Linked DNA regions of Sus scrofa. The protein of the gene in region 1 interacts with the protein of each later gene in a pairwise test. Links are inferred from orthologs where the notes say so. Each region holds a gene or a part of one and is shown on either strand. Other genes may lie near its edges.

The links.
Region 2: the proteins of EPM2AIP1 (region 1) and PRTFDC1 interact in binary tests that used the Homo sapiens proteins (3 or more experiments, as listed by UniProt). The two-hybrid records come from large-scale screens. The link is inferred for Sus scrofa from reciprocal best matches to the Homo sapiens genes EPM2AIP1 and PRTFDC1.

The regions. Positions count from the first base shown.
Region 1 is NC_010455.5:21,876,801-21,880,549, reverse strand, and holds the start of EPM2AIP1 (EPM2A-interacting protein 1), read right to left. Parts: upstream 2,688-3,749; 5' UTR 2,405-2,687; coding exon 578-2,404; 3' UTR 1-577.
Region 2 is NC_010452.4:50,364,293-50,368,041, reverse strand, and holds the start of PRTFDC1 (phosphoribosyltransferase domain-containing protein 1), read right to left. Parts: upstream 2,389-3,749; 5' UTR 2,257-2,388; coding exon 1,882-2,256; intron 1-1,881. UniProt on the Homo sapiens protein: Has low, barely detectable phosphoribosyltransferase activity (in vitro). Binds GMP, IMP and alpha-D-5-phosphoribosyl 1-pyrophosphate (PRPP). Is not expected to contribute to purine metabolism or GMP salvage.

The DNA.
Region 1 (3,749 bases):
AAATATGTCTGTATTTACTTCAGACTCAGAAATGTGTCTAAAAAAATAGTCTCAAACATTTTGATAGTTAGACAAAATACCTCCTCTGTATGTACGTTCTTCCTTTTCAGAAACTTCTGCACTTGTTAATGTGAGTTTCTGCAAACTGGCTCAAACATACATTTAAGGAGTTGATAATTTCAGACTATACGCATCAGAATCTCAACGCTTTGTTAAAATAAGAGCTAAAGTTTCTTTGAAACGTCTTAAAAACAGACTCCTAATTCAACTCACATGATTAATACTGAACTTTTTAAAAAACAATTATATCATAAAAGCAAAAGATAATGACTCTGCCACCAAGTTTTGAAAAAAGGTATCTGCATGTTTCAGTCTCATGCTGCCTCTTGAAAAGAGGAAAAAAAAATTGTCTGAAGCATTTGAATTGTGAAAAATGTCTGCGATGAAAGTTTTTTCACTTTGGGTGAAAAAACATGGTACTCTCCCACAATCCAAATTAGTAAAGTTGAAAATCAAACATATTTTTGCTTTTAGAGTTGGATTCTTGTTGAGTGTTTCGGTGTTGTACTACAAAAGCTTATGGATTCGATTCATTTCTTCCTCTCACAAGATCATCCCATTGAGGCTCTATTTCAGTGGTGGCAATCCGAAACAGGGCGTGGAGGTGTTCGTCTGTCAATGGGTGGCTCAAGGTGTGCTGGTTTCGAGTCAAATATGAAAAAGCCTTTTCACAAATCTTGCTACTATCAAACAAGGATGCTACCTTACAGGCAACCCCTTTGATAATTGGGTAAGATTCAGCAGACAGTCCGGCATAGAATTGCCCCAAGTCTTTGGTTCTGTATTCGTTCCAAAGATTAGTATTTGCCTGAAGTTTTGTTAGCTCCACCCTTACTGAAATAGGTGCATATTCAGCTTTAAAGCTAAATGGATTTGCAAAAAGCTCTAAGTCCTTTTTAATGAACTTGAGGTCCTTGAAATGTCTCTCAAATTCTTTTTGTAGGCGACAGATCACTACTTGATACCTTTCAGGATCAAGTATTTTTTCATCTTCTTGAAGATGCTCTTTAAGCTCATCAACAACTTCTCTCAAGGCGGCAAAGTGTGTTAGATTTTTTTCCTCGATATGTCTCTGAAGTAAATTCAGCTTAACTTCAAAGGTACAAATATGGTCAAAGGCAGCAGCAGCAAAGACTTTACTTACTCTCAATAGTTCGCTGAGTTCTCGAAGGTGGTCCATAATATCCACCAAAAAGCCAAAGTCACAAAGCCACTGCTTGTCTGTGAAATGGACCGTTGTTGCCCCTATTGAAACCAAAAATGTTTTTATCTCTTTTCTTAAAGAAAATATTAGTTTTAAGGTCTTCCCTCTTCTAAGCCAATTGTTCAGACAGCGTCCATTAACCCTTTCACCATGCTCTGATTCCGATTCAGTTAGTAAAGCCTGAAATTCTGGCCGCCTAACGCCTCTGGTCTTAATCAAAACTATCCATTCAGATATGGCATTTATGATCTGATTAACATCCACATCGTAGGAGCTCAACAGTTCCAAGTGAAGAAACCCCGAATAATGGATAACATTCCAACAGTTGGGGCTTACAGCCTTTTCTCTCATGTATGACACCAGCCCTGAGTTCTCACCAATCATCCTCAGAGTGTGGGTCGTGGTCAGTCCAACCATCCGCTGCAGGCTAAGCCCTGCAGTTTGCAGGGCCTCAAGGATTGCCGCCATGAGGGCACCAACACTGAAGTGCTGAGTCAGGTTGATGATGGTCAGAAGCTCTTCCTGCACCTCTAAATCGTGGCCCACGCCGCGGACAAAGACGAGGAGGTAGTTCTCATAGGCCACAAAAGCCTGGTCGTCCAACGCAAGGGAATAGGCCTTAAAGTCCTTGGCTCGGTTAAAAAGCTGACTGCGTAGATTCTGGTTAATGTCTAGGACCCTCTGCTGCGTGATCTCCGGAGATAAATCAATGCCATCCATAACGCCTACGTGATCAGGCAGCACATCTCTGAGCATCACCTCCATGCACCGGTACACGAAGTCCCCCTCACCCCAGCCGCGACCCTTCAAGGCCAAGAGGCGGGTGAGCCCGAGGCCTGCACGAGCAGCTCTCTCCTCCGGGGTGAGCGGGGCGGCATCGGGCAAGTCGCCCTGACGCAGACGCTCCACCAGGGCCGCGCGCTCGCCCTCCGCCACATACCGCTCGTAGTAATCGTGCTCCGCCTCGTAGTGGTGCCTGACATCGGGTTCGCCATTGGCTACGACCAGGCGGCGACAGACCAGGCACAGGGCGCCTTCGCCTTCCGGAGGCTCCACAACCAGGTAACGCTGAGTCCACTCGGCCTGGAAACCCCGAGGCTCCTCGATTTCCATTTTGCTCCTCTTGGGCGTCATCCACATCTCACGGGAGACCACTGGATCTGGGCCGACCTCCCGGAGGCCGCAAGGAGAGGGGAGGAGCAGGAGCGATCCCCAAGCGCCAACTCCGCTCTGCGCCAGATCACCCCAGCTGGGGAAACCACTGGGGTTCCGGCACCTTGATTCCTATTGGCTGGAGATTTCGTATTCCCCTGCCGCAAGCATGAGCCAATAGGAAGAGCGGACACTGATTTTTAGCGCGCAGGCGCATATCCTTCTCGCTGCAAAGTGCACTAAAGCCGCCTAAGGAGGGCTAAGAGAACAGGAATCATGGAGCTAAGAACTTGACTGGCATTCAAGATGCCCAATCAGTACCTCTCTGTCCCGGAAGTGGTGTTGCCGCTAGAGGGCGGGACGGGACGGCGTCAGCAGTGTTGCTGGAAGGATGTGGGTGCGAAGCTCTAAGGAGATTGGCTGAAAGCCCTTCCAGTGAGCGTCTCACCGTTACACGGCCTGCTCTGGCGCCAAAATGTCGCAGGTACCGGGAGTTATCCGGCGGTTGGACGAGACAGTGGTGAACCGCATCGCGGCAGGGGAGGTTATCCAGCGGCCGGCTAATGCCATTAAGGAGATGATTGAGAACTGGTACGAAGGGAGGAGTCCAGGCTTCCTTAGAACCTAACGGGCCACTGCTCAGGATGGCGCGGACACGCCTCTCTGCCCTGAGTGGAGGGGTGTGCCGCGCGCCGCCGCCGCGGGGAGGCCGGGGTCCTGCCTTCCTCTCTCCCGGGTCCTCGAGCGTCCCTTCGAGACTTTAGGGTTGATGGGGGCACAAAGAGAGGGCGATACAGTATTGTTTTAATGGTGCCATCAACTAAGAGAAATTCTAAAATTATATGTGCAGAAGATGCAACTTTTTAAACGTTTAAAAAGCTTTTTACATTTAAGAAGAAAAAACACCCCTCTCTTCATCCTTCAGAGGGCGTCAGTTTCTTGCTTATTCTGTATACATTCAGAAGTACAATTCCTTTTTAATTTTTTTTTTCTTCTCGGGCCGCTCCCGCGGCATATGGAGGTTCCCAGGCTTGGGGTCCAATCGGAGCTGTAGCTGCCGGCCTACGCCAGAGCCACAGCAACGCGGGATCTGAGCCGCGTCTGCTACCTACACCACAGGTAGGTAGCAGACGCGTCTGCTCACAACAACACCAGATCCTTAACCCACTGAGCAAGGCCAGGGATGGAACCCGCAACCTCATGGCTCCTAGTCGGTTTCGTCAACCCCTGAGCCACGATGGGAACTCCTGAATTTTATTTTATTTTATTTTATTTTTTAATTTTATTTATTTTATTTTATTTTTTTTACTTTATTTATTTTATTTTATTTTTT
Region 2 (3,749 bases), on another chromosome or scaffold:
CTTAGTCTTCCTATCTGCCTTCTCCCAGACACTCTGCTTCTTACACTGGGGGCTTTCCAGGTTTCTACCCTTAACTATGGTTTTACTTCCTTGCTCCACCCCATGTTCACTGGGCATCGCTCTCTAATGCCAAGCATCAGATATTTTTCTATTTATTGACAATTTCCAAATCTATCCAATCGCCCTCCTGAATTTCAAATAGGAATTTCAAATTGCCTCCTGTGCATCCTGACCGTAGGCTTTACAGGCACTATAGGCTCAGCTTCTCTTAAATTGAACTTAATTTTCCCATTTTATATTTTCATCCCCCTCCAACTCACCCCATCCCTAGGTCTAACCATCCTCTCCATGGCACCTGGAGTGACTTTAAAAAAAAAAAAAAGCATAAACTGGATGCCATGATTTCTTAGAATGTGAAGATTTCTTTGCACTTGATAGGCATTGCTTGGACAACCCTTCTTCAGAGTCTGTACATGGCTACCTACTGCTTAGCTAGCATCTCTTGTCATCCAGAGAGGCCACTCCCACCGTCTGAGCTAAAGCAGCATCCCCGGCCCTCCTGCGATCACACTTCATCTCATGATCTCTTTTCTTTTCATTGCACACATCACCATCCGAAAGCATCTTCTTTATTTATTTGCTTTCACACTGCTTGTCTGCCTTCCCCTCTAAAATGTAAGCTTCAGGAACACAAGGCTATGTCTTGTTTCCCCTGAGCCTAGAACACTACCTGTACCCCAGCAGGACAGTCAACATTAGTGGGATGCTTATATAAATGAATGCCTTCTCCTTTAGGAGGGTAAGGTCCGGCTATGAAATTAATACTGGGCAACATAGTACAACCTGAACAGGGCGGTTAGAGTGAGGGCTTTCCAAATCCAAACTTCCTACTCTTCTAGTCCTGTCCCAGCCACAGATTATCTGTTCATCACAGGCTGATCTCAAAACAAAGACTCTTCACGTAGCAAGTTAGCCCCACCCACCACTCCTCACCGCCGGTTCACTTTAAACCTGACACATTAAAACCACCACCTTCCACTGAAACCATTCTCTTCCGAGCAGAAGCCGGCGGGCCACAGGGCAAGCCGTGACTGGAATCAGGACACTGAGAGATGGCTGCCCACCGGGTGATGAGTGACTACGAGCAGTTCCCAGGGATAAAGAGCCTCTGGTCTGGGACCCCAGCATCCTACATCCTCTCACCCGCCACACTTTTAGACACCCTACAATCATCCTCTCCAGCTGGCCCCACAGGCCCAGCGTGCTGTGCTTTCCTTTTGCAGAAACTGGCGCTTGCTCCAGGGGCGCTAGCGTGTCCCGACCGAGCTCGAGCTCGTGCAGAGGACCCACAGAAAGGAGTCTGAGCCCAGGTTTCAAAGCTCAAACTCCGTCCACTAGAGCTACTTTATTTCCTAGCTGCCCTAGAGAATCCTCAGTATCCTTTCTGGAAACAAAACGTGAAGCCTACACTGGAAGAGTCAGGGGGGAGTACAATAGGAGGAGTCCCACAAGAGCGGCCCGCGGGGGTCTTCACAGACCTGCCCGGCCCCCAGAGGTGATTCCTGTGGCCAGCAGGAGGGGGACCCGGCACCACACAGGCTTAATGCTGGCGGATTCCTGGCGGAGGCGGAGAGAACACTGACAACACGGGGTGAAGGGATGTTAAATGTGGGGTCAGATTGGGCTCGGGGGTGGGGGTGGGGGTGGGTTGGAGGATGGAAGCGATCCCGCCGGAGGGAAGAACAAAGCCGTGGCCGCCCTCTCCCGAATGCATTTCTGGCGTTTAATCGAAAAGGCGGGGGGAGGGGGGTGCCAGGAAGGGAGGGGAGGGGAAGGCGCGGGGAGCGCGCGACTCGGCCCGAAATCGGAGTTTGCATTTACCACCACGCCTCGCCCGTAGTCTGGCGCCTCCTCACTGCTCCCGGCCATGTTTCTCCGGGGAAAGCGGGAAGGAAAGAAGGCGCGGGAAGAAGCCTGGAGGGTGACGGGCCGGGAGGGGGAGGGGTGGGATGTGGCCGCCCCGCCCCGCCTCGGTACCGCGGGCGGGAAAGCCACGGCGCGCGGACGACCCCACGCCTGGCGCGGCTCCAGCGCCTCGGCCGGCGCCGCCAACTCGGGCCGGTTCTCGAACGCGGGGCGGGGATGCGGGGCCCGGGGCGGGGGCGCAGCTGCCGAGCGGCGCGCGCTCCACCTGAGCGCTGGCCCCGGCGCCCGCGCGTCTCCCCTGCGGCCACCGCCCGCCTGCGTGCTCCGCATCCCGCCTTCTGTCCCGCGCCCCGCGGGGACTCGGGAGACCCAGGCTGCCCGCGGCTGGGCTTTTACAGAAACAGAAACGGCGCCCAGGTCCCCTGCCTCCCTAAGTCTGTCGTCCCAGCTTTCAGGCTAACGAGGTCCTTGAATCCTTCCTGCTGACTTGTAGGCGCTCTTTATCCCAAGTCCATCCACGAAAGAGTCTGCGGTATGGGATATTCTCCAAGTACGGCTGTGGGCGAAACTAGGATGTGTTCTTTAAGTCCTCGAACTGCCCAGCCAGGGGTTTGAAAGAGCCGTGCGGTGGCCCATCCCTGAACCACGCCCGCGGTTACAGGATTAGGACTTGGAAATAGGGGCTTTCCTTTACCGCTTTCAGGGCGAAAAAAAGATTTTTTACTCATTATCTACTTTACCACTTTTGTAAGAACAAACGGTCAAATTTTGATTTTCTCAGGCTGCAGTTTAGAGCTGCCGATTAAAAAGCCTCCCTTGAATCTTTTGTTAATTCAACCCTGATCCCAGCCTTCCCCCGACTGAGGGTCCCGGTTCTTTGTCCATTCCTCAAGGGCCCTACTTTCCCTTTATATGTATTCATCGCCTGGTTTCTGCAAGCTCGCCTCATCCTTTGCAGCTCTGCTCTGGTGGGAAGCCCCGAGCTGAGGGCGGGTCTCCGACTCGGACCTCTATTTTGTTCATCTGTGGGTTCTGGCACAAGGCAGGGAGTGGAATGCTGATTTGCTTGATTCCAGGGGGAAATGGTTATCAATCAGTTAATGTCGCCCTGGGTTGCAAAAACCAGACGTGGCTGTGCTCAGCCCTGTTTGTCGTTACCCTGTCGGAAGTGACAGCACGGGAAAGGCGGGCAGCTCCTTGGATCGCTGAAACTAGGCGCTGTGCTTGCAGATTGGCTCCCATAAACCGAGTGAAAGTGTTTCTTGCACAGGTAAACGTTTTCTCTCAGTAACTGTCAGATGTCCTTGTCTGGGGCAATTTCTATAGTCTCACTCATCTCTTTTCTCACAGGTGAGGGGCCATCTGCTATTTTCATTGCTAAAGACTGAGCCCAGGAAGCATCTTCACAACCTGAGTTCCAGGAACTGAAAACTGATGATCAAACTTTAGGGTTCAGAAGACTCTTGGGTAGCCAGCCACTTCCCTACTCCGCACATTCTGGTGGAGAAGCTGTGTGTTCAGACTCAGAAGTCTGTGCTGCTAAGGCACCCAAGAGAATGAGGCAGAGGTTGCCAACCATGCCTTAAAGATGCAAATTCACATTTACCCATAAGAGCTCAGAGTGTACACTGGGTCTTAAGGAACACAAAAGTTACAAATGTCAAAGTTACAGGTGTAGTTGCTCTATAGAAGTCAAAAAGCAACAACGGTGGGAACTGTGGGAAATGATAGATACATCTTCTTTCCTTAGACTGTTAATATAATGTAAAACCAATAGGTTCACAATGAATAAAAACGCACTTACTTGAATGACAACAGGAACC